Xenopus tropicalis: one gene and its partners. The protein of the gene in region 4 interacts with the protein of the main gene of each other region in a biochemical or structural test. Links are inferred from orthologs where the notes say so. Each region holds a gene or a part of one and is shown on either strand. Other genes may lie near its edges. The genes, in order: plekho1, ube2m, axin1 and smurf1.

Evidence for each region.
Region 1: the proteins of smurf1 (region 4) and plekho1 form a complex in vitro, tested with the Homo sapiens proteins (4 studies listed by BioGRID and IntAct). The link is inferred for Xenopus tropicalis from reciprocal best matches to the Homo sapiens genes SMURF1 and PLEKHO1.
Region 2: the proteins of smurf1 (region 4) and ube2m form a complex in vitro, tested with the Homo sapiens proteins (2 studies listed by BioGRID). The link is inferred for Xenopus tropicalis from reciprocal best matches to the Homo sapiens genes SMURF1 and UBE2M.
Region 3: of the proteins of smurf1 (region 4) and axin1, one has a biochemical effect on the other in vitro, tested with the Homo sapiens proteins (2 studies listed by BioGRID, with this or other methods). The link is inferred for Xenopus tropicalis from reciprocal best matches to the Homo sapiens genes SMURF1 and AXIN1.

Annotation. Positions count from the first base shown.
Region 1 is NC_030684.2:129,082,264-129,090,110, forward strand, and holds the start of plekho1 (pleckstrin homology domain-containing family O member 1), read left to right. Parts: upstream 1-2,490; 5' UTR 2,491-2,512; intron 2,513-7,847. UniProt on the Homo sapiens protein: Plays a role in the regulation of the actin cytoskeleton through its interactions with actin capping protein (CP).
Region 2 is NC_030683.2:103,007,507-103,015,507, reverse strand, and holds the start of ube2m (NEDD8-conjugating enzyme Ubc12), read right to left. Parts: upstream 4,469-8,001; 5' UTR 4,324-4,468; coding exon 4,215-4,323; intron 714-4,214; coding exon 619-713; intron 1-618.
Region 3 is NC_030685.2:15,097,036-15,104,410, forward strand, and holds part of axin1 (axin-1), read right to left. Parts: intron 2,677-7,375; 5' UTR 2,586-2,676; coding exon 1,708-2,585; intron 1-1,707. UniProt on the Homo sapiens protein: Component of the beta-catenin destruction complex required for regulating CTNNB1 levels through phosphorylation and ubiquitination, and modulating Wnt-signaling.
Region 4 is NC_030685.2:47,057,920-47,065,294, forward strand, and holds part of smurf1 (E3 ubiquitin-protein ligase SMURF1), read right to left. Parts: coding exon 7,267-7,375; intron 6,600-7,266; coding exon 6,496-6,599; intron 4,347-6,495; coding exon 4,232-4,346; intron 3,364-4,231; coding exon 3,185-3,363; intron 347-3,184; coding exon 209-346; intron 1-208. UniProt on the Homo sapiens protein: E3 ubiquitin-protein ligase that acts as a negative regulator of BMP signaling pathway. Mediates ubiquitination and degradation of SMAD1 and SMAD5, 2 receptor-regulated SMADs specific for the BMP pathway.

The DNA of each region.
Region 1 (7,847 bases), on a different chromosome or scaffold from region 4:
CTACAGGACATGGTCCGTTACACAAATTTGTATGCTGAGCAGTATCTTGCCAGCAACCCTTTACCGGGTTTTTCAAGAGCCCAGGCATGGTATCCCACAAATATAAACGAAATAAAAAGATTCCTGGCTCTTACATTGGCAATGGGACTCGTAGAACGTAATTCTTTAGCTTCCTACTGGGATACCAATACAGTCCTTTCCATCCCTCTTTTTTCAGCCGTTATGGCAAGAAACCGTTATCAAATTTTATTGCGGTTTCTTCACTTTAACGACAACACAACGGCTGTTGCCCCTAATGAGCCCGGTTATGACAGGCTTTATAAATTGAGGCCCCTTATAGATAGCCTGTCTCAGCGCTTCGCAGAGGTTTACACCCCCTCCCAAAATGTCTGTGTAGATGAGTCCCTTTTGCTCTTCAAAGGGCGCCTAAAATTTCGCCAATATATCCCTAGTAAGCGTTCTCGCTATGGGATTAAATTTTACAAACTCTGTGAAAGCAGCACGGGCTACACTAGTTATTTCATGCTGTATGAGGGAAAGGACACTAATTTGGACCCCCCCGGTTGTCCCACTGACTTGACTACCAGTGGTAAAATTGTTTGGGAGCTCATAACTCCACTGCTGGGCCGAGGTTACCACTTATACGTGGATAACTTTTACACAGGCATCCCTTTATTTAGAGCCCTAAATTCTTTGGACACCCCAGCCTGCGGCACAGTCCACCGTAACCGCAAAGGACTGCCCAGGGAATTGCTGGATAAGAAACTGAAGCGTGGAGAAGTACATGCTCTAAGAAGCAATGAGCTCTTGGCCATAAAATATTCAGACACCAAAGTTGTTCTTATGCTTACTACTATCCACGATGAGACCATGATTGTCCAACACAGAAGTGGCGGTAGGCCCTCAAAAACAAAGCCCCTGTGTAGTAAAGAATATAGTAAGCATATGGGTGGTGTTGATAAATCCGACCAAATACAACATTATTATAATGCCACCCGAAAAACCAGGGCCTGGTACAAAAAAGCAGCAATTTATATGATCCAAATGGCCCTTTATAATTCTTATGTCGTTTACAAGGCGGCAGTACCAGGCCCCAGATTGTCTTATTATAATTATTTGCTGCAGTTGCTCCCTGCCTTGTTGTTTGGTGATGTAGAGGAGGTTCCTGACATGCCAGGTAATGACAATGTTGCCCGAATGGTGGGTAAGCATTTTATAGCACAAATTCCACCAACACCTAATAAAAGATATGCCCAGAGAAAATGTAAGGTTTGCCGTTCCAAGGGTGTTAGGCGAGATGTCCGGTATTATTGTCCCAAGTGTCCTAGCAAGCCTGCTTTGTGTTTCCACCCATGTTTTGAAGTGTACCATACTGTGGTACACTATGAGAGGACTTGAATTTTGTGTTTTTATAGGTAGGTTATGGTTCTCTGGGTTTGTTGGTGGAATAAGGATTTAGCATATCAGAATAGTGGACTTGGCATGTTCTAGGTTTTTATGCACAAGGTTGCAGGCCTCCAAACTTAGCTGTGCTGGCAAAGTGACGCTGTTTTTTATTTATTGAGTTTATCTATTCTGGCAGGTCCGTACTTTACTTATAACTAGGTTATAGATATATGTGATGAAAAGTTTGGTAAGGTGTGTCATATTATTGGCAAAAGTTTTTTTTTTTTTTAGTAAAGTAGGGTTTTATGGTATGTGATTTTGTTTTTTGCACAGGTTGTCAGAAAAACAGTGTGTGCTTGTAGCTTGTGGTTGTTTAGACTTGTTCTTGGGCATTCAGATTTTTGTGTTTGAGCTATGGTTATTCAGGCTAGTTGCAGTGTTTCTTTGGTTATGGGGTAGGACTTGTATTGTGCTGTTGGTATAGCGAACTGAGGTGCTGGGTGACTGACAGGGCGCATGATAAAACTTGTGGTGTGTGATGAATCAATGAGATGTTTTTATCTCTAAAGCTGATGCCACAAGTCCTTTTACTGGCACCTCAAAAGCATGCCTGTCAGCGCAGTTATCTGTGCATAGTTTTGTATTATATACTTTGTATTTCTGGGCAGCATTTAACTACTGTAAGTGTAGGCCTTAAGTTTTTTGCAAAGGTTCTTGAGCACAGGATGACAGATACATTACGGTTTTTTGTGCTTGTAGTACAAATTGAATATCTACTGTATGTTCTGGTTAGGTTACACAAGTTGCAGTGGCTCTCTAAATATAAAAACTTTGCGTAATACTGGTGTGCCACTGGTGACTGCTGCACGGCACGTAATGGTGCACATAATTTTATCTCTGATGCTAATGCCCCAAGCTTTATTGTTGGCACCTTTAGTGCAACTTCTAAGGACACTTGCATCATTTATGGGCCAAATTACTATTGATTTTTTTGGCAAATATCCTTCTAAATGTGGTGCAGATTTTGTCATTTCTAAAGTAGTGTAGGAAGAAGCAAAAAACTGGTATCATAACACCACAGGAAAGATGGAACTCAAATCAAAGATGCTCCGCTAAACTGAAATAGGTGAGTAAAGTACAATTTAGGGGTTTATTTGGGGGGGGGGGGTTAAAGTTAAAAAACTGCAAGGGGTGCATAGAGTGCAGCCCCAATATTATGCATTTTCAGGTTTGGCGGCCATGTACTTATGTGCAACCAGACATATGGGGTGTAATTTTATTCAGGGTAACTTGCTAATTGATACTGAGCAAGTTTTTTGATAGTTGCCATTGAGATTTTGGGGAGAAATCTAACTTTATATTTTTTTTCAGACTAAAGTCCAGCTTGTATAGGGAACTGCATCCACAATTTTGCCTGTAGAAAACCAAGAATGGTGTTTCTAAATAGCTGAAGTTGTCTATTTCAATGTATAGTTTATATGGGTTTTTTCACAGGTAAGGGGCAATTTTGTCTGAAAAACTTTGAGATGTGCACATAAATTGCAGCCCCATTATTATGCATTGCCCCTGTTTTGGGGCATTTGGTGGCTGCATCTTTATGTGCACCCATACATATGGCATATCGTTTTATTCAGGGGAACTTGCAGATTGATGTTTAGTAAGTTTTTGGTAGTTGCCATGGAGATTTTGGGGAGAAATCTAGGTTTGTATCTGGTTTTTCCTTGATTTCTGACCAAAGCGCTGACTTCTGCAAGGGACCACGGCCACAATTTTCCATGTAGAAAGAGGAGAGTGGTGTCTCTGAATAGCTGAAGTTGTCTATTTTTAATCAATGTATAGTTTATATGGGTTTTTTCACAGGTAAGGGGCAATTTTGTCTGAAAAACTTTGAGATGTGCACATAAATTGCAGCCCCATTGTAATGCATTGCCCCTGTTTTGGGGCATTTGGTGGCCACGTCTTTATGTGCACCCATACATATGGGGTATCGTTTTATTCAGGGGAACTTGCAGATTGATGTTTAGTAAGTTTTTGGTAGTTGCCATGGAGATTTTGGGGAGAAATCTAGGTTTGTATCTGTTTTTTTCTTGATTTCTGACCAAAGCGCTGACTTCTGCAAGGGACTGCGGCCACAATTTTCCATGTAGAAAGAGGAGAGTGGTGTTTCTGAATAGCTGAAGGTGTGCACTTTTCAGAAATATATAGTTTGTGGGGGTTATTTTACAGGTAGGGGGGTTAACACTGAAAAACTGCAGGAAGTGCACATAGAGTGCAGCCCCCAAAATTTCAACTGAAATTGCCCTTATGCATTGCCCCTGTTTTGGGGCATTTGGTGGCCACGTCTTTATGTGCACCCATACATATGGGGTATCGTTTTATTCAGGGGAACTTGCAGATTGATGTTTAGTAAGTTTTTGGTAGTTGCCATGGAGATTTTGGGGAGAAATCTAGGTTTGTATCTGTTTTTTTCTTGATTTCTGACCAAAGCGCTGACTTCTGCAAGGGACTGCGGCCACAATTTTCCATGTAGAAAGAGGAGAGTGGTGTTTCTGAATAGCTGAAGGTGTGCACTTTTCAGAAATATATAGTTTGTGGGGGTTATTTTACAGGTAGGGGGGGTTAACACTGAAAAACTGCAGGAAGTGCACATAGAGTGCAGCCCCCAAAATTTCAACTGAAATTGCCCTTATGCATTGCCCCTGTTTTGGGGCATTTGGTGGCCACGTCTTTATGTGCACCCATACATATGGGGTATCGTTTTATTCAGGGGAACTTGCAGATTGATGTTTAGTAAGTTTTTGGTAGTTGCCATGGAGATTTTGGGGAGAAATCTAGGTTTGTATCTGTTTTTTTCTTGATTTCTGACCAAAGCGCTGACTTCTGCAAGGGACTGTGGCCACAATTTTCCATGTAGAAAGAGGAGAGTGGTGTTTCTGAATAGCTGAAGGTGTGCACTTTTCAGAAATATATAGTTTGTGGGGGTTATTTTACAGGTAGGGGGGGTTAACACTGAAAAACTGCAGGAAGTGCACATAGAGCGCAGCCCCCAAAATTTCAACTGAAATTGCCCTTATGCATTGCCCCTGTTTTGGGGCATTTGGTGGCCACGTCTTTATGTGCACCCATACATATGGGGTATCGTTTTATTCAGGGGAACTTGCAGATTGATGTTTAGTAAGTTTTTAGTAGTTGCCATGGAGATTTTGGGGAGAAATCTAGGTTTGTATCTGTTTTTTTCTTGATTTCTGACCAAAGTGCTGACTTCTGCAAGGGACTGCGGCCACAATTTTCCATGTAGAAAGAGGAGAGTGGCGTCTCTGAATAGCTGAAGGTGTGCACTTTTCAGAAATATATAGTTTGTGGGGGTTATTTTACAGGTAGGGGGGGTTAACACTGAAAAACTGCAGGAAGTGCACATAGAGCGCAGCCCCCAAAATTTCAACTGAAATTGCCCTTATGCATTGCCCCTGTTTTGGGGCATTTGGTGGCCACGTCTTTATGTGCACCCATACATATGGGGTATCGTTTTATTCAGGGGAACTTGCAGATTGATGTTTAGTAAGTTTTTAGTAGTTGCCATGGAGATTTTGGGGAGAAATCTAGGTTTGTATCTGTTTTTTTCTTGATTTCTGACCAAAGTGCTGACTTCTGCAAGGGACTGCGGCCACAATTTTCCATGTAGAAAGAGGAGAGTGGTGTCTCTGAATAGCTGAAGGTGTGCACTTTTCAGAAATATATAGTTTGTGGGGGTTATTTTACAGGTAGGGGGGGTTAACACTGAAAAACTGCAGGAAGTGCACATAGAGCGCAGCCCCCAAAATTTCAACTGAAATTGCCCTTATGCATTGCCCCTGTTTTGGGGCATTTGGTGGCCACGTCTTTATGTGCACCCATACATATGGGGTATCGTTTTATTCAGGGGAACTTGCAGATTGATGTTTAGTAAGTTTTTAGTAGTTGCCATGGAGATTTTGGGGAGAAATCTAGGTTTGTATCTGTTTTTTTCTTGATTTCTGACCAAAGCGCTGACTTCTGCAAGGGACTGCGGCCACAATTTTCCATGTAGAAAGAGGAGAGTGGTGTTTCTGAATAGCTGAAGGTGTGCACTTTTCAGAAATATATAGTTTGTGGGGGTTATTTTACAGGTAGGGGGGGTTAACACTGAAAAACTGCAGGAAGTGCACATAGAGTGCAGCCCCCAAAATTTCAACTGAAATTGCCCTTATGCATTGCCCCTGTTTTGGGGCATTTGGTGGCCACGTCTTTATGTGCACCCATACATATGGGGTATCGTTTTATTCAGGGGAACTTGCAGATTGATGTTTAGTAAGTTTTTAGTAGTTGCCATGGAGATTTTGGGGAGAAATCTAGGTTTGTATCTGTTTTTTTCTTGATTTCTGACCAAAGCGCTGACTTCTGCAAGGGACTGCGGCCACAATTTTCCATGTAGAAAGAGGAGAGTGGTGTTTCTGAATAGCTGAAGGTGTGCACTTTTCAGAAATATATAGTTTGTGGGGGTTATTTTACAGGTAGGGGGGGTTAACACTGAAAAACTGCAGGAAGTGCACATAGAGTGCAGCCCCCAAAATTTCAACTGAAATTGCCCTTATGCATTGCCCCTGTTTTGGGGCATTTGGTGGCCACGTCTTTATGTGCTCCCATACATATGGGGTATCGTTTTATTCAGGGGAACTTGCAGATTGATGTTTAGTAAGTTTTTAGTAGTTGCCATGGAGATTTTGGGGAGAAATCTAGGTTTGTATCTGTTTTTTTCTTGATTTCTGACCAAAGCGCTGACTTCTGCAAGGGACTGCGGCCACAATTTTCCATGTAGAAAGAGGAGAGTGGTGTCTCTGAATAGCTGAAGGTGTGCACTTTTCAGAAATATATAGTTTGTGGGGGTTATTTTACAGGTAGGGGGGGTTAACACTGAAAAACTGCAGGAAGTGCACATAGAGCGCAGCCCCCAAAATTTCAACTGAAATTGCCCTTATGCATTGCCCCTGTTTTGGGGCATTTGGTGGCCACGTCTTTATGTGCACCCATACATATGGGGTATCGTTTTATTCAGGGGAACTTGCAGATTGATGTTTAGTAAGTTTTTGGTAGTTGCCATGGAGATTTTGGGGAGAAATCTAGGTTTGTATCTGTTTTTTTCTTGATTTCTGACCAAAGTGCTGACTTCTGCAAGGGACTGCGGCCACAATTTTCCATGTAGAAAGAGGAGAGTGGCGTCTGTGAATAGCTGAAGGTGTGCACTTTTCAGACATATATAGTTTGTGGGGGTTATTTCACAAGTAGGGGGGTTAACACTGAAAAACTGCAGGTAGTGCACATGGAGCACAGCACCCACATTTTTAGCTGTAATTGCCCTTGTGCATTGCCCCTGCTTTGGAGTGTTTGATGCCCATGTCTTTATGTGCACCCATACATATGGGGCATCATTTTATTCAGGAGAAGTTTGTCTTTCAAATTTGCCTTTGTTAGAAAATTTTTATGACATTTTTTTTGTCAAATCCACATTTGATCATGCGTCCAAGTTTACGTTTTAGAAAAAAAAAAAAATGTCAAAAAAAGTTCCAAATTTCACAATGCACTGACAAAAGGTATTTGGCTTTTGAGTGAAAACTACATTGCACCTGGAAACCTGAAGGTCTGTAGTTTCTAAAGATACCAAACATGAGGGGATATTCTAGATTTACATATAAGTTATGCTGCATCAACTGTTACAAGCGCTTTTCCGCTTTGTTCTGGTGTGATATTGTACTAAGTATTGCTTTAGTTTGGGGGTTACTTCTGGACAGGAACTGTGGGGTACCACCACATATTTGGTATCGTTGGACTTGGGAGTATCAGGGCTTTTACAAACAACAAAAAAAAGTGTGTAAAATTAACTTTTCTATGGAAAAAAAACTCAAAATATACAGAAATTTTTCATAATTTTATTTTTTTTTTACATATTTCACCCAAAATACACATCATATCTCCAGAAAAATTATAAAATTTGGTATGTATGTCGAAGCCCAATTAGTGACGAAAAAAACAATATATAATTTCCCTAGTTTCATGGAGGTTTTCCTACCAAAAAACATTTTTAAAGTGAATGAGTACAAAATGCTTAAAAAACGTCTGGCACTGGGGGGAACTGAAATGACGAATTCGGCTGGCACTTAAAGGGTTAAATATAAGTGGAATATTCCATTTTCCCCCTTTGGTTCGGTAGAACTACAGCACAAACTACCACTAGGGGTGCTATTTACACTTCATTCCCATGCAGGCTTTCTAGATATATATTACAATACACATATAAACAGATGCTATATTATGTAACGCCTTGATGTGTGCATCCCTGGGAGCATTGGGCTTTCCCGTCAGTGATCAGAGGGCAGTTCATTGTGCCTGGGAGAGCGGCTACTGAATAAAGGGACGGTATCGCCCTTATTGTCTCCCTGCCAAACCTC
Region 2 (8,001 bases), on a different chromosome or scaffold from region 4:
AGAAGACATTAAATGCCTTGGACCCAACATAGTTGCCTTAGTTGCTCTTCAGATAAGAGGGTATCCCATCTAAAGACTTATTTACAATGGTTTCTCTAAAGTTGGGAATATATGGCCCTGTTTGCCACAGTAACCTCCATTTTGTCATTGGTGCCATCACTGTGAGTACTGTATTAACTGGTTGCTCTGCAAAGTACAGTGGTGCTCCCAAAACTCAAGGCCCAGTGTTTCCCTAAATGATTAGTAAGCCCATAGGTGCTGCTGATGCTAGAGAATGTAGCAAAGCTCTTTCATGCGGTGCTTATACAGAAACTTATGGCTATGGCCACATGGACTGATTCTCAGCCTGCAGTCCCTATAATCCTAACAGCCTTTCCATGTACCTGCCCCAGAACCACTGTCAGCCTGGGTAAAGGTCATACATCATGGAGCGGATTTTGGCACCAAAATGTGTAATGGCCACATGGGGCAGATTTCTGGCATATAGATAAATGCAGCCTGAACATCTAGCCCCTGTAACCTGTAGTCTAAAACCTCTAATCCAGCCCCAGCTTTAGTGGTAAAAGCTACAACTTACTCAAACCGTTGCAAGAGCAAAACAATGGCACATATACTAACCTCATCAGGGCAGATGACTAATTTGAAATTTAAGAGATCATCGTGGTCTGAGAACTCTATTTCACATGTCTTCGGCAAATTCAGTTCGTTAATATCTGGAACACAGGCACAGAAACGGACATTAGTAACTACGTCACATTTGGCTTTGCTACATACAATGCAGGTTCTAAAATAGAAACAGATTTGATCAAAGGGCAAGGAATGATCTCATCAGTTTTGTCCCCATTTATGAATTACCCTTTTTTATATAGCACTGATTGATTGGGCAGCACTTTCCAGAGACTGTCTCTGAGCAATCAATTGGTCCCAAACAAGTCAATCTTTGGCCACAAGCAAGAGCTGTTCAACATTTACGCATGTACGCTGGGCACCTTCAGCACTGTGTGGAGGCGAGTAGTGGTTTGTGTCTGTTATATTAACTGCATATGGCTCTGTACAGAGAGCTTCATAAAGCAGCTTATAGCAGGAATTTTGAAAAAAAAAAATTAAAATATAAAAATGTTGGGTTCAGATGCTCTCTCCTTTCTTTGTCCTCCCTTTAACCAATTGTTACAAAACAAGGAAAGTCTAAGCTAGCAGTAAGGGCAGTATTTTCTCATTCCACAAATATGTAAATCCCACGCCTCTTTATAATGTAACCATGAAGGCAGGGCTCAGAGCTGCACTATACCGAGGGTGCTCTTAGGCCTCAGCATTACTGCAATTCTCTACTGACAGTATGTACTGGAACCTTCCTCTGCCCCTATATACCCTGTACGCCTAATAGCTAAACACGTATAATAAGAAAAAATGGTACAATTTAAATGAAAAAAACTAGCAGCAACACAAAGCTGAACTTAAAGGGATCCTTCACCCAAAGAGTTTTTTTAATTAATGAAAGAAATTGAATTCTAAGCAACTTTCCATTATAAATTCATTACACACTCTCAGTCATTTTAATTGCGTATGTGAATGTAATTGCTGAAAGCAGTATCTTTTTGGCTGTTAACATTCTCTGCACTGCTGATTCTGACTCCTGAATCAATGGTGATGAAGCCAGCTGACTAACAGAGCTGGTAGAGAACTGACTTCTGCTACATTCTTTCAAGAGTCAGAAGCAGAGGACAAATAGGGAGAAACAATCGCTAGTTTCTATGGCATTAACTAAGCAACCAGCGAGACTGTGTTATGAATGTACATTGGAAAGCTGCTTAGAGTTATAGTTTCTTTTATTATGCAATAAACAGTTTTTTTGGGTGGAGAAAAGTAAAAAAAAGTCAAAGCCCTAAGTTCCAGAAGAAAAAAAATAAATCTTGTAAATTAGGGCAGTGTGTTATGAGGGAAGGGTTGGGAATTATGGAATGCATGGGGCCCATTGCAAGGTAACTCACATACTGTAGGTGCATGAAGTGGCTGGCTATAAGAAGTGCTTATTTACTAACAGCTGGATAAGATCTTAGGGGTGGCACAAAGCTGCAGCTTGCCAATATGCTGTGCCGACCAAACAATGTAAATGATAGATTTCAGAGGTTTCATCTTGAGGTACAAGGGGTTCGGGCAGTGTCAGGTTTGGGCTAATGCAAACATATGCATGCCCTGTTACACATGTAAATCAATACATACACGTTTGCCTTTCCCCATGGGCAGAGGCCACAAAAAGTCACATTTTTGTTTGGATAATAGTTCCCCTATACTGACATAGACACAAGGATCCTCAGAACCAACTCCTTCACCAGAGTGGGGAACAACTGGTCTTGTTAGTTTATGGGATGCCTCCCTACTGAGCACACAGCAATGCATGGCATGGAGGTTATCACCTCTGAAAGGCAGACTGCCCATGGATCAACTATGGATCAGAGCACCCCACTTCTGATCACCACAAATACTGAGGCTGAAAATGCCAATGATTAAGGTGAATCACTGCACACTGTGACAAACAAAAGAGCTGACCCATGGGTGAAGCCCAAACAAAGGGTGACTGGCACAGCCATAGTTACTCGGAGCCCTACCTCCTGCTAGCATTAGGACTCAATAACCCTTAAGCCCTAGGTCTGTGATTAGTCGCCGCGCAACAAATCTCCCTTGTCAGGGGCAACTAATCTCCCCGAAATGCCATCCCACCGGCTAGAATGTAAATTGCCGGTGGGATGGCATACGTGCACCGTGATTTGCCGAAGTCGTGGAAGTTTCCTCTCAAGGCAACTTCCGCGACTTCTGCAAATTTCGGTGCTGTGTATGCCATCCCACAGGAGATTTACATTCTAGCCGGCAGGATGGCATTTTGGGGAGATTAGTCGTTCGGCAACTAATCTCCCCGTGTGTCACAGCCCTTACTGTTCGGCTTGCCACTACTTATAGCACGAATCAAAATGCCATAGCCCTAAACCTGTATGGGGTCAAGAGGAAAAAGACCTTGCATGTCTGCGTTGGTATCATTCCCCCTTCTGTGGAAAAAAGAAAGAAAAGGGATTGATCAATGCACATACACAGGTCCCATAGGTTATGACAGTAAGGTTATGATCCTTACAAAGCCACCCCCCCCTATATCTATATAAGCCCCATGTGGTGGCGCTATCTATTTACCTCTGTTTTTCATAGGTTTGCACCTCCCTAATTGGTAGCATGTCATGAGATGCCAGTCAATTGTCCTCTAAACCCCCATTATTTGTATTAGCTGGATTATTTAGCAAGAAGGAAAGCCAGACTTCCATGTGGCTGTAACACATATACACCATTCCCTTTAATGGTGGCCTTATGCCTTAAAAATGGCTGTTGAAGATCTCTCCTCTTTAATAGCCCATAGAGGGGGCAGGATCAGTCTGCGAGACCATTGCTTTGGGCAGGAGGCACTATTCCTAGGAAACAAGCCAGCAGGGAGGTGCCAGCCTAGGAGAAATATGATTAGATTTACATCATTTGCATTGATCAATCCCATATTTAGTAGTTTTACTTTGATTCACCATGAGGTGTAGCCCCAACCCTCTTGTTTCACGCCTTATAAACAAGTACATGGCCTTGCCCCAGAGCAAACCAGGAAAAGTTCCATTGATGAGGAAAGCCACACAAGGTTGCGTTCTAGCCCTGGATTCTGCGCAATGTTCCCTCTAAACTGTGTGCTCACACAAATGTCGAGGCCAACAAATTGAGCATTTTGTATTTATTATGACCTCAGCACACAGTTCATAAAAATGTGCGCACAAATTGTAAGTGTGCACACAAAAAAAAATTTTTTTGCGCTCAAAGCCAAGAAGTAAAGAGAGGGACCATTGATTCCGTGGCTGACTTTAGCGAGTTTGTTGCAAAGAGAAAAGCAGAGAAAAATCTGTTGCAATTACACCAATAATTAAACTGAATTTGAACCAAACTAGCAGTTAGTATGTACGTGTTCCCCTTTGATATAAATGGAATGACAAAATTGTGGGGCTGAAAGCAGAATAGTGCAGGCATTGTACCAGAGTTCTGCCCTGCTGGACAGAGAGAGAGAGAAAATAAAGACATAAATAAGTGGCCAACACGGGCTTTATACTGAGAAAGCAAAGAACAGAGCGCCCCTTGAGCAGGGGCAGGATACCCCAGGGCTCCCCCTAGCGGCGGGGTGATACAAGGCTCCAGGTTACCTTTCTGAATGCGAAGTTGAGCGGCTGAGGCCTTTTTACTGCTGCCTTTAGTTCCCCCTGCAGATTCCTCCTCCTTCTTCTGCTGCTTGAGGGAGAAGAGTTTGATCATCTTGCTGGATGTCCCCCCTGCGGGCCCGCACCTCCCTCAACCCCCTCCTGCTCTCCCTATGTCCCGCACTGGGGGAAGCTCCCAGCCTCCCTCCCCTCCGTCCCTTTTCTCTCTCTCGCCACACACAGGCCGGGGGGAGACAGGCCGCAGCACTGGGGTCTAATCGTCTCTCGGGGCCCGCACACCTGACGGACAGAGCTACTAGTCGGGAGCTTAGATCCGGGTGAGCAGCTCCTTGGTGCCGGTTCTCACGGCCGCTACCAGCTAAGGCTTCTCGCCTTTATCAGTGCTGCCTCTTCCGTGAGCTGCCCGGCAGGTATCGGAAACACTCAGCTCTGCGGCCGCTCTGCTTCTAGGCAGAAGATGCAGCTACTGCGCAGCTTCGGAAGCGCTTGCGCTGGGGAATCCGGAGCTTTCGGAAGTACTCGGCTAGTTCCGCCAACACTCGGGCTTGGGACATCGGGAGGTTCCGGAAGCAATCGTGGCACCGAAATTGTGAGGGGACTTGGAAACGTTCGGGGAGCAGTTGATTGAGAACGCTTAGAGCTTCCACTTTGGAAACAATACCTAAACGTTCTATCGAGTATTCTGTGGAGACCTTTATACGGCCGCCGTCAAAATCTTATAAGATATATCTTATATCTGCATATTTCCTCACACATACACAGGTTTTAGTTTAGTTGCTAAGTATTGGGAAACAATACAATGTTGGGCCCGCTAGCCCATGCTACACTACATTGCTTCCATTTGTCAGGCCCCCAGATACATGTCTTTAGCAATATAGCTTATTCTGACCGAGGCCATTACAGGAAATGCCTCTAGCTTTTGGTTCCCCAGCCCTTTCAGCTTCAATGTTCCCTATTCTAGCCCTGCCTCAATAGAAACCCTAAGATTAGAAGAAGGTGGTAGCTTTAAGGTCCCCGTACGCCTTCAGATCTGCTCCCTTGGCGATGATGCCAAGCGAGCGGATCTTCTCCCGATATCCCCACCTACGGGGGACCCTGGGGCGAAATGATCGAATTACAATGACGGGTATAGACAAAGTTGGTCCAGGGACCGCATCAACGAGCCGATGCAGTCCCCGATCTGACTAGATTTTTTAACCTGCACGATATCTGTCCGATTTCAGGTCAGATATCGGTCGGCCAGGCCCGTCGGTAGTGCCCATACACGGGCCGATTAGCTGCTGACCTTAATGCCCATGCAGAACAGCGTGAGTCATTTGCTCTTCATGGAATAAAACAGAACCAACATGGCACAAAATATTTGCCTTCCTGGGAAGTGTGACCCTAGATCAGTGTTCCCCAACCAGTGGCTCATAAGCAACATGTCCCTCACCACACCCTTTGATGTAACTCCCAGAGGCCTCAAAGTAGGTAGCCATTTTTGCATTTCTGTCTTGAAGGCAAGTTTTGGAATCACAGAGTTTTACTCCATGCAGAGCTTCCTGCAGGCTAGCAGTCCACATGGGGCTACCAAATAGCCAATCACAGCCCTTATTTGGCATCCCCAAAGAACTTTTTTATGTTAGTGTGGCTCACCAACACTTTTGGTGGGGGGAGCTTAGGAATGTAGAGGCCCAGTACAGCCCTAATTATTGAGCAATTTCAATATATCTTGGTAGAATAGAACTTCTATTGCCTAAATTGCGGTGGTGCCCAGTAACATCTATTTATGCCACTGCCTCAAAGTTCTGTGCCAGCCAACCAGCTGCCCATTCTGCACCTGAGCCCTGTACCCTACATGTTTTATTTCATGTTCATATGCTGTAACTATGACAAAGGGAAACTATTTTGTAACACAATGTGTTACGTATAATATAATGCATGATGTAACAATAAGTCCATACATATTCATATCAGCCCATCCCATTAGTGTCCTCATTAAAATCCATATAGCAAATACCTATACAACATAAGTTGCTGTATTTGAGGTAATGCCTCCTTATGGGCCTACTATCACTAGGATAAGATACACATGAGCTAAATACAGGAAGAAAGACAGCAAATCTGCCCAATACTCTTACCATTAGTTGCTTTAAGTCAGGTTGGGTGCTCAAGGATGACTTGTAGATACTGTTTCAGTTCATCCCTCAGAAATTCAGTTGGACCGAAGTTCAGATTTAAGTTAACTTTTTAGTATGCTGTAGAATAGCAATGTCAATTGGTCTTAATTTTTTTTTTTTCTATAGTTTCTGAATTATTTGCCTTTTTCTTCAGGTTTCAAAAGGGGGTCACTGACTCCAGCAGCCAAAACCTATTGCTCTGTAAGGCTTTTTATGACTTATCTTTTCTATTCAGCCTGTCTCCTATTTATAGCCCAGTTTCTCATTCAAACCACTGTCTGGTTGCTAGAGGACTCTGAACCCCAGCAACCAGATATATGCTGAAATTCTAAACTGGAGAGCTGCTGAACAAAAAGCTAAATAATTAAACAAAGAAAAAAATAAAAATAAGGATGAATGGTCTTAAAATATCAAGCCCTACATCAAAGCAAACAACCCCTTTAAGTCCCAATAGTCTCAGACCATTATTCCTTTAGGCCAATGCTGTCCAACTTCTGCGGTGCTGAGGGCTGGAATTTCTCTCGCGTACATGGTGAAGGGCCGCTAATGGAAGCCAGTTTTGGCCACTCCCTAATTTTAAACCACACCCACTTTATCACAATGGTCGCTGCAGGGATATCAACCATCATTCGTATGTTAAAGAATTATATTATGTCATATTAAGACACACCCTTAAATCCATATGCCGCCGCCTCCCCTGTGGATAGCACAGCAACCCCCAGCAACATAATTACACACCTTAGGGACCATTAAATGGCTATTTCCAACTGCTAACAAACTCCTAGAACAAACCCCTGCCAGGTTCACCTCCCACAGGCAGCTTAGGGTAGGCGGAGTATGGCACACACAGGCAGCACTCTGTCTGTCCTATGCTGCCTGTGTGTGCCATACGCTGCCTGCCCTATGCTGCCTGTGGGTGCCATACCCTCCCTGCCCTATGCTGCCTGTGGGTGCCATACCCTCCCTGCCCTATGCTGCCTATACACAGGCAGCATAGGCCAGGCAGTACATACAATGTCTGAGGTGTGAAGAGGTGAACAATGTGGGTGATTATAGCCTGAGGTGTGAACACTGCAGGGGGGGGGGGGGGTGAACAATGCAGATATTAAAAGGTGTGAAAAACACAGGGGATTACATTTTTAAACAATACAGAGGGATTACAGCCTGAATCTGAGGTGAGAACCATGCAGGGGGGCCAGTTAATCTCAGTACTGATACCATTTAAAGTTTACACAAAGTTAAGCCATCAAAGCAGCCAGACAAGTGGGGGGGCTACCAGTTGGACAGCACTGCTTTAGGCCATTCCAGCCACCAACACTTGGCATCATGTATGGCTGAATACTCAATCAACTCAACATACCACCAACAAAAATGCCAGTAAATGCTTCCTGCTGATTGGTTGTTATGGGTTACTGTTCCTGGGCAAATATAGTGCTTTTTGTATTTTTAATATAACCCCATTGTTGTACATATTGTAGATGGAGGCAGAAAGCCTACTTGAGAATCACTGGCAATGCTCAGTACTACAGAAATCCCTACCCAACCCTTTCTATGCATTTGCCATTCAGAAATAAATGTTGATATCAGGGCTATCCAGAAGATGCATCTAGAAG
Region 3 (7,375 bases), about 32 Mb from region 4:
TTTAAAATGCTGCCTGGTTGTCCGGTCCACTGACCCCGGCAACAAGAATAATCCCACAGGTACATTTATATTGTTATTGAATTTTTTTTTTTTTTTTTTTATTGCTTCTTGTTCCAATTTTCAGCTTAACGTTAAGATCCACTTGTTTCATGACCTCGCCAAACAGGCAAATCATCCCCCAGATATGCCGACCTAAGGTGGGACACCATACCTGGGCAGATGAGCTGCCCAATTGGTCTGAAGGGCTTAAATCTGCCTGTGTATGGCCACCTTAAAGGGAACATAGTGTGTGAAAAACAACATTGTGCCAATGAATTGTACTCATCTTAATACAGAAGGAATGTGCTTTAAAAAGTAGTGTTTCCGGCTGATTAATTGAAATTTTCTCCAAAAACCCCATTAGTCCCACCCATCTGTCCCTCTTCCTTCTGCCTCCTTTCCCAGGCTGTGCAGGGGGGACCCAATAGGCTGACCTGATAGGGAACTGAAGCCTGTCTTAAGGTCCCCATACACGGGCCGACTGTAGCTGCTGATATCGGTCCCTTAGACAGACTCGGCAGCTTATCGGCCCGTGTATGGGCATAAATGACAGGCCTGCCCGACCGACGTCTGGCCTGAAATCGGCCAGATATCTATTGGGAAGGTTTAAAAATGTAGTTGGATCTGGGACCGCATCGGCTTGTTGATTCGGACCCCGAAACGAATGCGCCTATTGCGGCGCTCTAATTCGATCATTTGGTCCCAGGGCCAAACAACCGAATTAGCCTAAATTCGACCTCGCCAAGCGAAGGTATCTTAACGTGTATGGCCACCTTTAGCCAGTCATAGCCCTGCAGTCATACAGGCACTTTCCCTCCTACTGTGCTTCTGGCAGGGACAGTTAGGCCACACCCACCCCTCATTTGAAACACAGACAGAGACCTGAGAGGATCTATCGCTCCAATAAAGGGGCCATTTTTACAGACAGTAATAATTTTTTGACCAAAGTGAAACCAGTACCATATATTATTCATAATTGCCTATAAAATAATCTTTTTTAGCTTATCCTACATGTCTCCTTTAATTAGGACCCACACATCTAGATAAAAGCGGAAGCCAAACTGGACCTGGTACATAACTGCAGTTGAAATAAATCATTAACCACAAAGAATATAAAAGCATAAATATAAACATCACACTAAACCTTAATTCTAAGGTGAGCTCTGTGCCTTTACGTCAATGTGCCAAAAAACCTAAGAAACACAGCATCTAAAGCTCTCCAATTGCAAAATGCAGAAAGAAAATTTCATGGCACATAAAGTTCAGGCACTTCTCCACTTTATCATTCACCTTTCTCTGATTTTGGCCCAAAAACTCCCAAATGTTTCTGGAAAGAAATCCACCTGTCACCGTAACAGGCTGCACAGCCATGATCAGCATAAAAAGTAAACCTTCAAGCCTTTATATGGGCACAGGACTCCTTCTATACTTATTTTTTACAACTAAGGCTATATTGCTTATTATTTGCACACATTCATATTTAGAAAAATTGCTGCTATGCTGCTGGTAGCTAGAATAAAATATCTTTCAAACACAAACACAGTTATCATGTGACTAGGAACATGCAGAAAGCAACAATTTCCACAATCCCATGAATGGCCCTTATGTGGCCAGGATTGTGCATTGTGCAACTACACCTTGGTGCCTCCATACAGTTTACAAACATACCTGAATTCTCTGCCGTCACTTAATCTTCTATTAGGCCCCACACAATGGGACGAACTGTCTAAAACAAGCTTCTGGGTAAATAAGCTGGAGGGAACAGAATCCCTCTCCCTTTCGAGTTCCCCTCCTTGGTCACACCTCCATTCCTCATCTTCATTTAGAGTAGGTAAATATCCAGAAGGCCCTTTCCCCGTCCCAGATGCCGAGCTCTGATCACTGTAATTTTTAGGACTTTCCCCACCAATAGTTGTATATTCTAAATATGTATCTGATTTAAGGAACACAGGATATGTATTGTCCTCCATCATGGACTGGATTTCCGTTTGGGCCTGGTCAAACATAGCTGGGTCTATCTGTTGCCTCAAAACGCAATCTTTTATGAAGCTTTTGGTCGCTGGTTTGATCTGCCGTGACACGATGCCGTTGCTGTCCAGAATGTATTTTTTGTAAATGGCTTTTGCCAGTTTTAGTCTCTTCTCCACTTTTGAGTCGTTGGGTTCCAGCTTCCGAAAGCCGCTGCATGCAAACCAGAAGTCCAGCAGGTCCGCACAGTTCTCTTGTTGCAAAAAAGTCCTGAACAAGTTAATCCCATCCTGATCGTCCAAAAGAGAGTGCAACGACTCAGCCCATTTTAGGTACGGAGGTGTCGGGGAAGCACTACCTTCAGGCTCATAGCCCAAGTCTAGGTCTGGTCTCCTAGGGGTGGCTGTTGAGGTTTCGTTTTTGATCCCATCGTTTTTCAGAGAGTAGTAACTGTGGCTGAAGGGTCTTTGATCTGTTGTAATCAGTTCTCCTTCCTCGCCAGGAACTGGTGGCCTAGGTGCATCTTCAGTAAAGCTTCCCCCTAGGTCCAAAGGGAAACCTTTCCCTTTGACACTCATTTTGATGGCGTTTGTATACACAGTGATGAATAAAACACTGATTCAGAATATGGACATCGTAAATAGAAGGTCCCAGGTAAAAGTATGCCTCCTGCCAAGAAAAAAAAACAAAGAAACATTTAGAAGTCAGTAGGAAAAAGATAATTAAGTTCCGCTTACTCATTATACTGTTGCATTTCATTAAAGGGGAACTCCACCCAAAACAGTATTTACACCTAATAAAAACAAATATAATTCTAAGCAACTTTCCTATTACATTCATGACACATATTTAGTGGCTTTAGAGTTATCTGCAGGGTGAAGACACACAGAGCTACTAGTAGCAGCTACTTGTCCCTGCTACTAAAATAGACAATGCTGATCATTTACTGATAACTGTCTCTACATGTGTCTTAATCTCCTCGCAATGCCAACCTACCGGCATGAATGTAAATCGGCGGTGGGATGGCATACACGTCACTTAGTTTTCCTGAAGTCGCCCAAAGTTTTCTTGAGAGGCAACTTCGGGAAAATGAATCATCACGTATGCCATCCCATTGGCAATTTACGTTCTTGCCAGTGGGATGGTATTGCGGGGAGATTAGTCGCCCGCAGTAACGAAGATCTGTCACGGCGCAACTAATCTCCCCATTTGCCACTGCCCTTAGAAGAGGCAATTCTCAGTTGTCTATTGGCAGGGTATTTTATGTTGTTTAGTAGCTGTGAAAAAGTAGCAAATACTAGTAGCCCGTGTGTCTTCACCCTTAGTGTAACTTTTGTTAATAACAGAATCTGTGGGGCAGTTCTGAGTCTTTGCACTGCTGGTTCTGTCTCCTAAAAATGCAGCAGAAGCCAGCTCACTAACAAGACCCTGAGGATAACCGACATATGTTACATTGTTTCAAGAGTCAGAACCAGAAAGCAAAAAGCGATAAACAGAATGCCATTTCCATTTACCTAGTCAAGAGCCCAACATGAATGAATTATGGAAGTGCGTATTTGAAGTGTGTGGCTGGCAAGTGATCCTCTGGGATGCCACTGCTGCCAAGGTTAAGCTGCAAATAGTCTGGGGCCAGCAATGAAAGCGACAATTGCCAAACAGAAATGGACTTATCTTACACGACTATCACAGACCGGCAGTTGGGTTTATTGCAGTTGAGTAACACAATAGAAGCTTTAGTGAAAACCTGTGACAATGCCAGTCCTCGTTGGGCAACTGCAGCAGTGACACTAATTTTTGAATGCAAAAACAACTTGCAGCCACTGTTCATAATATAGTCACACACCCAGTTGGGACTGAACGTGTAGTGAGCTTGAAGACCAGAGGAAGCGTGCCAGCTAGAAAGCAGCTGTAGCAATAGCACATAATAGCAAGCATAGCGGGCATCGTTAACTGCCCAGCCACAATTACCCATAGCCAGCAAGGCACAATACAGCTGGATATTGCAGCAGCCATCATTGACTGCCCAGATACAATTACCCATAGCCAGCAAGGCACAATACAGCTGGATATTGCAGCGGCCATCATTGACTGCCCAGCCACAATTACCCATAGCCAGCAAGGCACAATACAGCTGGATATTGCAGCAGCCATCATTGACTGCCCAGATACAATTACCCATAGCCAGCAAGGCACAATACAGCTGGATATTGCAGCGGCCATCATTGACTGCCCAGCCACAATTACCCATAGCCAGCAAGGCACAATACAGCTGGATATTGCAGAGGCCATCATTGACTGCCCAGCCACAATTACCCATAGCCAGCAAGGCACAATACAGCTGGATATTGCAGCGGCCATCACTAACTGCCCAGCCACTATTACCCATAGCCAGCAAGGCACAATACAGCTGGATATTGCAGCGGCCATCACTAACTGCCCAGCCACAATTACCCATAGCCAGCAAGGCACAATACAGCTGGATACTGCAGAGGACAAGGGTTGCTCGCAAGGTGTGTTCGTGAGTGTGACGCCAAATGTTCTTGTGTATCAGACTTAGAGGCTCCCTGGGATTCCCCCCCTGCTCGAGGCATACCCAGATAGGCTGTATCTGAATGAATGAACCTGCTATTGCCAGGGCCATTAAAGCTATTGGTACTTTGAACCGTGCCGCAGAGATAAACAGCATAAAGCAATAACCAGGGACACTAAAATACTATATTACCCATCCCAAGACATGCAACTGCTCACGTTCTACTCCTCAGCACCACTAGGCGACATCACCTTCTGCCCGGCAATCCCTTTTACTGTTTCCAGTGGGGGCTATAATAGACTAACTCGCCACACACACAGTGTAAAAATCCTCTTTCTAGCCAGCTACATGTGTCTGCATTCCTTTTCTCTGGTTCCGACTCCTGAAACAAGTTAGTTCTGCTCTCGATAGTTTCTGCTATACTGATTCAGAAGTCAGAGCCAGCAGTGCAGAGAATACAAACACCCAGGCAGCGTTTTTCCATACCAATTACATTTACACATAACTTCAAAACCAATGACATTTATGAATGTATATACTGCTTACAGTTACATGTCAGTTACAACGAAAATATATTTTAAATATCTATCTCTCCTTGATAACTATAAGACTTCTGTATAATGTGTCAAAAATACAAATATTATATAACAAAGAAGTTGCTGGTCCTGAGAGTTCTAATTCCAATTTGATATATACTATACATATATATTTTCTTTTTTACACACATCACATTACACATATATTCACTTTTTTTTTTTTTATAAATAGACATTTCCCCCCCAACAATGAGGATAGATTTCTTTGGTCAGACCAAAAGCAGATATAATAAGTCAGGAGTGGGCACACAGCCTTGCAGGATTATTTGCAAATGATCAGTATATATCAGTAATATACCAAGCACTGGGTGCCGATGGATCAGGTAGGCAGGTAGGAACACAAGAAACAGGGTCCCCCACACCCCCAAGGCGTCTGGCTACGGCATTCAGATTCTGACATGCACAGAATGCGGAGAACTTCTGCCCCCAATATATATTGGGCACCATGGAAAGTGCTAATGCATGAACTGACAATACCCCACACTCCCACGGTACCTTAGCATTTCTTACATAAAACTGCAGTTGTAACGAAAACTATAAAGCCAATCATACCCCCAACCCACACATAAACTGGCTTAGTCCCTACAGCAGCAATGAGCAACCTGTGGCCCTGCGGGTATTGCCACAGCAGCCCCCCTGTTTCCTTAAGGGTGAGAAGCCCAAGGTAGGTGATGGAACACAGTGAGCAATGGTCAATAAACACCTTGCTGAACTACAATTCCCACCCATGGTGAAACTGCCGGACAACCCACAGAATACAATTCCCACCATGATCGATTTAATGGTCAAGACACTCAGAGCTACTAGTAGCAGCAACTAAAATAGACAATGCTGATAATTTACTGATAATTGTCTCTATGTGTGTTTTAGAAGACAATTCTCAGTATTGTCTATGGCAGTGGCAGCTACCTAAGGGTGAAGACACATGGAGCTACTTAGTAGCAGCTTCTTGTCATGGCTGCAAAACACCAGAAAACACCCTGACAATACTAAGAATTGCCTCTGCTAAAACACACGCAGAGACAATTATCAGTAAATGATCAGCATTGTTTATTTTTGTAGCCATGACAAGTAGCTGCTACTAGTAGCTCCGTGTGTCTTCACCCTAATACTGCACTGCTGCTGATTCTCCAGCGTTTGTAGCCACAGTGCATTTGCTAGTGAAACAACTCCCATCACCCCGCTATGCAGAAGTCAGAGCCAGCAGTGCAGAGAATACAAACATCCAGGCAGCGTTTTTCCATACCAATTACATTTACACATAACTTCAAAACCACTGTCTATGGCAGTGGCAGCTACTAGTAGTTCTGTGTCTTCACCCTAAGGGTGAAGACACATGGAGCTACTTAGTAGCAGCTTCTTGTCATGGCTGCAAAACACCAGAAAATACCCTGACAATACTGAGAATTGCCTCTGTTAAAACACACGTAGAGACAATTATCAGTAAATGATCAGCATTGTCTATTTTTGTAGCCGTGACAAGTAGCTGCTACTAGTAGCTCCGTGTGTCTTTACCCTTAGGGTGAAGACACACTGAGCTACTAGTAGCAGCTACTTTTTCATGGCTACTAAACTCTAGAAAATCCCCTGCCATAGACAATACAGAGAATTGCCTCTGCTAAAACACACGTAGAGACAATTATCAGTAAATGATCAGCATTGTCTATAATAGTAGCCGTGACAAGTAGCTGCTACTAGTAGCTCCGTGTGTCTTCACCCTAATACCGCACTGCTGTGGATTCTCCATCGTTTGCAGCCACAGTGCATTTGCCAGTGAAACAACTCCCATCACCCCACTAACAGCTTATCACGTAGATAAGTTGTCTCCCCCCCATTAATGATGGGATCCCTGCAAAATAGTCCCCCCCCCCCAGATATAGTAAGGATGTAGTAAAGCCCCAGTAAAGCTGACAGATATCCCCCATACAGCCCTGTGGATGATGCTGAATTAAAACTCCCAGTAACCCCTCTGAGCCCAGAGATGTAGTCATTCAGTGTCTGGTGATGTTCATCCCTGGGACTACATTTCCCAGCATGCTCTAGCAGAAAAGCAAAGCATTCAGAGCCCCAATGTTGGGAATAAGGGCAGCAGAGCAACCTGTGATGGACTCTATTACCACAGCCACGTACAGGGCCACAGGGTTCCCATGCATGCCTATAGACGGGCCAGGGTACGGGGCTTCCCAGTAAGATGCGGCCCAGCGGTACTGGCAAAGCCGGGGCCTGGCCTACAAACTGGATC
Region 4 (7,375 bases):
CATGACTCATAGATGCAAGATTTTAAAAAAACCTGCTGATGTGGACGAACACAACAGACATAAAGTACATGTATACACCCTAGGCAATAAACTAATGCTAGTTGGCCATACCTGGGTTTGCCAGATATGTTGTCCACCCAATCGACATTGGTACAATAAATATGCACAAAACATACATATGATATATTTTATAATGTTAGTAACATACCTCACATACTCTTTCTTATTTTCTTCTGTTACTTGTAAGTTCTTGCCATTTGGTTTCAATTCATGCTGGAGGAGTCGGCCAAATGCATTGTGCTCAACACAGAACGTGTGGTCTAATACTGAAGTAATGTCATTCTCTCTAAAGCAGTAATATAGAAGGAAATCGAAACAGTAATTGTACATTACATTTTTTTTAGCTTAATTAAGGCATACGCTGTTTCCCCAAATGTGTGTTCTTCATAACAGTAACAATGATAAAACAAGGTTGTATAACAAAGGTTTAGAAGATTAATGGTGCTATTGCTAAAAATAATTTAGATGTCACCTGGTTTGACTGGATATTCTTTGTGCTTTACACACATTGTAAATCTATGCAATGATACTTCTCAGATCCCCTTATCTAAGGGGACATCAATATGGATATGGGGCCACTGGGCTTCATGCTGAACAGAAAGTGGATTATTATTGCTGCAGATTTGTGCTTATGTAAAAACATCCCTGACCAATTAAACCAGGCAGAAATAAAAGCAGAGCGAAGTAGACTATAGGGGTTGAAGCTTCATGCTGAAATAGGTAGTGATGAGTGACATTTTTCGCCAGGCATAGATTTGCAATAATTTTTTGATGTGTGCATCATTTATTGCATTCCATAAATTTTGCGCCATTTTGCAAATATTTCGCAAATTTTTGGGGGAAGCAAAATGGGACAGATTCGCTCATCACTATAAATAGGAGGCAGATTATCCTTTCTGCAGATTTGTGCTTTTGTGCTGGATTCTTCAAGTCCAAAACAGAGAGGGAAGGTATGAAATTCTGGGGGTTATTTTTAGAGATTCTTTTTTTTTTTTTTAATGTTTATTTATTCTTTAATGCAGGTAAATCGCATCACCTGCTCTCAGGCAGGAGAGTGGCCGAGGAGGGGGGGATTTCTATACTATAGAGAAATGCTGTAAAACTGGCGGACCCCCTTTTTGTGGCCCCCCCATTTGTCTGGCAGCTGTGACTGTAAATTGCATCAGTACTGAGATTATCTACCCCCCCTCTACATTGTTCACACCTCAGATTCAGGCTGTAAGCCCCTGTAATGTTCACACCTGTAAGCCATTGCATTGTCCACACCTGTAAGCCTCATCCATTATTTACAATCACAAGCCCCACAAGGCAGCATAGGTCAGGCAGAGTATGGCACACACAGGCAGCATAGGGCAGGCAGAGTATGGCACACACAGGCAGCATAACTGTATATCTAAGGTGGGAACAATCAATGGGGCATTGATTGTTCCCACCTCAGATATACAGTTATGCTGCCTGTGTGTGCCATACTCTGCCTGCCCTATGCTGCCTGTGTGCCATACTGCGCCTACCCTATGCCACCTGTGGGAGGTGAACCTGGCAGGGGTTTGTTTAAGGAGTTTATTAGCTTTTGGAAATAGTGGTTAGGGGTCCCTAAGGTGTTTAATTAGGTGCTGGGGTTGCTGTGCTGTCCACAGGGGAGGAGGCAGCATATGAATTTAAGGGTATGTCTTAATATGACTTAATTAACTTTTTTTCACATATGAGTGTTAGGCGATATCCCTGCAGTAAACACCAACCATTTGTCTTCAAAATGTTTGTGTTAATATGGATGTAGTATAAAAAGGGCAGTGGCTAAAACTGACTTCCGTTTTTGGCCCTCCACCATGTTTGCCAGAGAAATTCTGGCCCTCGGTACCACAGGGCACGATTATATTTACATCGCACATAGCATACCTTCCACTACAGCTATAAAATTCAAAAAAAAGTTATGGTGTTACCGTGTATATATTGACATTTTACAACAACAACAACTGAGATGCAGACCAATTACACAAATCACATTTAAGCTTACGCAGTGTGTTTAGGCAATCTGAAGTCTCTGTAAGAACCTGGCATCCATCTGCAGAATTTCAAACCAGTCAGTTGCCCCTACTATGCAAAAAAAAACAAAACCCTGATCTACTAAATAAATTGCTAAGTAATGTCACACTGGGACACATACAGGAAAGACACCAGTGTTGGTGGGATTTTGCACAAAGTATAGTGCTTTCTAGTGTTCTGCTACCAAGGCTGATGCTGCCTCCTCCCACCTCACTTACCTATCTCACACACAGAGCAGGGTAGGGAAGATCATTATGCTTGTTTAGCGAGTGCAACTGTTCTACGTTAAAGGTCAAAATATGGATTTTCCCACAATAAGGCCGGATCACTGCATGTAAAGTGTTTTACATGGGGGGAATAAACCTCTGAATGAAAAGGTAAATTTTGGATTTTTTGTTGGCCAGCAGGAGAGGAAATTTCACATAAGTGACAACACGTACATGTCCTTTGACCCTAAACAGCAAAATCACTGCCAAAATAATAAAAAAAAAAAAATGTTATTTAAATTTACCAATTTTACTGCCAATGTGTAACTTTAGAAAAGGTCTAACTTTACCTACTGTAAGAGCACCCGGATAAAACTCCCAAAATCATGTAATGTACTATTGGCCGTAGGATATCTGCCAGAATATTACTGCATATAGAGTTGTCTGTTGTTCCTCTACTAAGCTCTGTATGTGCAAGTATCATAACTTGTTGTGTTTGTATATAAGCACACAGGTTAGAGCAGTGATACCTAGCTACTGGCCTGTAAACCACATTTCTTGACACCCCTTTAAATGCTGCATGCAGTAACTTCAAAGGTGCTCATTTAACAAATGCTGGCCAAGTCTTGGAAGCCAAAAAAATGTTCTGGTAAACATGGGCTGCTACAGGCAGGTAGTCTATATAGTTCTATGAAAAAGCCAACCCAGTCTTTATTTTGCAGCCTGCACAATATTTTTTTTATGACTAAGTAGCTCTCAAACACTTTTTAAACTTGAATGTGGCTTACAATGCAACTAAAATAGGTTGGGGGAGCTCTGGCTTAAAGGGAACATAAGATCCTTAGAGACCAAAATATCTTAACAAAAATACTTACAAAATCCAAACCAAGCTTTTATGCAGCTCTGGATCCACAGATTCCAAGTCAGACAGCTGAATGGGCTTTCCCAAAAGTTGTTTGTAGAAAGGAACTGTAAACCCCCCATTAATGTAGTGTCCATGAAACACAGCCAATCCCATGATTCGACCAACAAAATGGAAATAAGATAAATGATCCTGTAGAGCAGAGTGGAAACAGAGTAAATTGACTTTGTATCTGAGTTTTGATTTTAGATTAAACTAAATCAGCAGAATTATTAGATGTATCTCAGTCCTCTCTGGCAATTAATACTAGGTAAAGGCAGGTAAGAAAATGGGAAGAATCTACCTTAAACACACATTGTGTCCATTACCTTGAGCCCTGCTGTCCAAAAGAACAAAGCTTGCCAACTAAAGCATTTTGTGAGCTTCGGAGATTTGAAGCGTAACATTTTAGCGAGCACCTCCAATTGTCAGGTGTCCATACAAATGGCCCATGATGTTAGCTGCTCAACTGAACACTTATGTTGTTCTGCAAAATTATGATCTGCAGTTATTTTAATATTGTGTAGGTTAACCTATGGATGGCAAGTACTAATTTCCTAGTTGCCGATGCAGTCCCTTATCCAATTTAAAAAAAAAAAAAAAAAAAAAAATCAAACTTGTCAAATTGACACCTGACCAATTTTCAACCAGATATTCAACTGCAGCTATTCTTAAAAAAATATGGTAGTTTGCACAGCTTCTTTATTGCATCAATGCTTTAGTACTCGCCAGATAGAATTAATATGTTAAAATTTTTACTGTCAAACTGCTTATAATTTTTTTCAGCCATTTTGCTGTGGCCACTAAAAGATCCAATGAGCATCATACTATACATTAATAATTAGTAGCAGCATCTTCTGCATAAAAGATTTTGTTGTTTTTGAAAAACAAGTCAATTATGGCTAGTTTCCCACAAAAAAAAAGTAAATTTCTAAGTTAATTTGTTTGTAGCTCACCGCAGCAAAGTGTCCCAATTTGCCACTACCTGTCAGCTGACCACAATGTCAGGTTTAACACTTACTGGATTAATAGATGAATCAGGATTAATTTGCAGAGTATAAATATTGTCTGTAGAATATTGGAAAAGTCCATAATATGGATTCAGCATTTCATGGCATAGTAAATACAGCCACTCCCTGTTTAAAAGAATCACATCAAGAATGAACAGACAATCTGAGCTGTTCTCTGAAAACACAAAATACATAGCAATAGCTTTTTCTTTTTTTTATGAAACTTTATGAACTTTATGAAATTTAAACTTTTTACTAAAGCATACAAACACCAAATGCCAAACACCAAAAAGCCAAATGTTCTGAAATTTTTTTTTAACTGGTTTTGTGAATTATAAAACATAACTTTACATAATGATAATCGACTTAATTCTAATAAGGTTGGTCCTGAATGTTAACTTCATGATACATATGAAGCCAGTAGCTATTTTTTTTTCTATTTATAACTAATGGATATATAATAAGGTAAGTGAAGGATATAGTATTACAGGGCTCTTCTAAACTGCTATGCAAGAGCATATAATATACTCCCTTGCACATAACAGCATTTTATCATAACCATTTTAATCTCCTTGTCTGCTGACCCTTAATGTCAGCAAAACATCACTGAATATGACAGATACAGGCAAGAAATTAATAGGGACAGTTTCCTATGGTGGATCATGGCCTGTAAATAAATACTACAAGATTAGTATTTAAAAAAATATAACATTCAAAATGTAGAGAGGATATATTTAGGATTAAGTCCTCTTTTCAAACAGATCTCACCCTAAACTGTGAAAGACAAGGGATCTCTTTGCCACTAGTACCTTGCACAGCTTTTGCCTTTTATGTTCCCCACTTCTGCTATAATAATCTAAAAAACAACAAATTTTCTAAAGGAATTCAATTCAATTTAGACTTTAATTCCATAGTTAGTGAAGTGGTATAACAATCTTTCTTGCAGTCATTTTAAGTTGTTAATGTACAACAATATTGCTAAATCATCCAATCATACATAAGCTGATAAAGAGCTTAAGTGCCGAAGGTCCTCCGACACGAAGACAACTTTCGGGTCAGTGTACACAGGAATTCAAGCACCCGTCGCCTTTTCGCCGTGCTGCTATGGAGCAGTTCGTCACTAAAATTCTACACGAAGCATTTAAAAAAGGCAAGGGGGGAAAGGCTAGACCTAATATTAGAGCTGTTTTGTGACTTATACGGTATTTAAATATTTATGTGTTACTGTTCCTTTAATTGCAGCCAAGTTCTGCTTTCAGGTTTCCTTCTTTTTGTTTTTTTAAAGTTTGATGCTATTACAGGAGCACATATAAGTGGATGCTTCAGCCTTACTATTAAGCTTTCAACAACCAGAGTGGTAGGTATTTAAAAATTACAAAGAGGCTGTTCACTGATTACATCTTTATGTGGGGGGTTTAACTTAGCCCGCAAATCTCCCCATGTGCCAATGCCCTTAGCTACCAAAGGACAGGTACTATTTCCTGAGTACATGTTTAAATTAAAATATTTTATTGGTTTCTATGGTTTACTGCAACTCGGCAAATGTGTGCCTTTTATTAATTACATGGGGGCAAGTAATTAAAAAGTACAGATGAAACCAAGACTGTGGAACCCAGTGCACTTTTCCACAAGAGTTATCTAAAAAATATATTTAAAAGTATTTCTTACATTTGTAAAACTGGTGTGTAGGCCGCCATCTCAGTGCATTGTACCTGAGTCTGAACTTTCAGAAGGAGCCAGTGTTACAATATTAAATACAAAAAAAAAAAAATCTGTTTGCGTTTTTGAAAAATGGATTTCAATGCAGGATTCAGCTGGAGAAGCTCTATTAACTGATGCGTTAAAAAAAAAAAAAAAAAATTATATATTTGTATATTTTGTTATATTTGTATTGTTACATATTTGTTGCTAGAGAGGCATCAGATGGGGTTTTTTGCCTTCCTCTGGGTCAACTAGCAGTTAGGCAGGTTATATATAGGCATTATGGTTGAACGTGATGGACGTACGTCTTTTTTCAACCTAACTTACTATATTACTATGTAAAGACCAGCATTAAAATACTAAGAATATGAGACAACTGTCCAGATGGGGGGGAATGTTTGGTTGTGATATTTACAAAAGGGTAAAAGGTATTAAGAGGTATTTCTTGTCTAACATAGCACAAAGTAAAAATGCAGCCCATAATTTGGGATAGTGTATAATAAACATCACTGTATAAGTCATACACAGTAAATATTTTAGGCCCACCATCAGTACATGATAAGTAGGACAATACCTGGCCACTCCACCATAGTCAAGTCCTTCTTCCCCACGAAATTTCACCATCAATCTTTTCTTAAGGTCTTTCGGTCTCATCTTCATTATCTGCCTATAGGACTCCTGCATATGGGCAGATTATCGGATTATAAAACTACAGCCTTGATAGAAACTATGCAGACAAAAAGTTTCATAACACATTTTGGCTCTGTCACAAAAAAATGATGCCAGTTTTAAACACCAGTAAGTAAAAAAAATCTAAACTAAAAGTAAGAAGGAATAGAAAGATAAATACAAATAACCTGTTAAAATATTTTGTTGAAATAATATTTTGTTCTTGAAAAAATTGTCAAACCTTGAAGGTTTTTAGGGGCGTTCAATAAAAAATAAATCAATCGTTGATGTTCTAATCATAAGGTCACTACATTTTCTATGATAAAATATTTCATTGCTTAAAACATAGAAAATCAGCTACATTACTGCAAGTTAATATCTGTTTTTTTTTCTTGCTAGCATGTCAAGGCTCTTTCCACATTGCTGTTTAATTCTATCCAGTTTAACAAAATAACTATAAAACCCCCAACTTTTTATTGTGATGAAAGCTTTCTTTGGGGGGATGAGTTCTGAAACATTTATAAAGATATGATAAACGGTTTTACAATACATAATACATTCTAAAATTACATTTTAATTTGAGCTACCCTTTTAAAAATCTGCTACAAATCTGTAACCAAACTGATATATATATCTTTTGAATCCTCTCTATTTTAGCTTTGCATGGCTACCTTACCTCAAAAATTTCTTCCCTTGACACTTCAACACGGCAGTGCCCTGCCTGAGGCTGCAGCAATGATAACTCATGTCTCAGGACTTTAAGTTTCTGTACCAAGTCTCTCTCA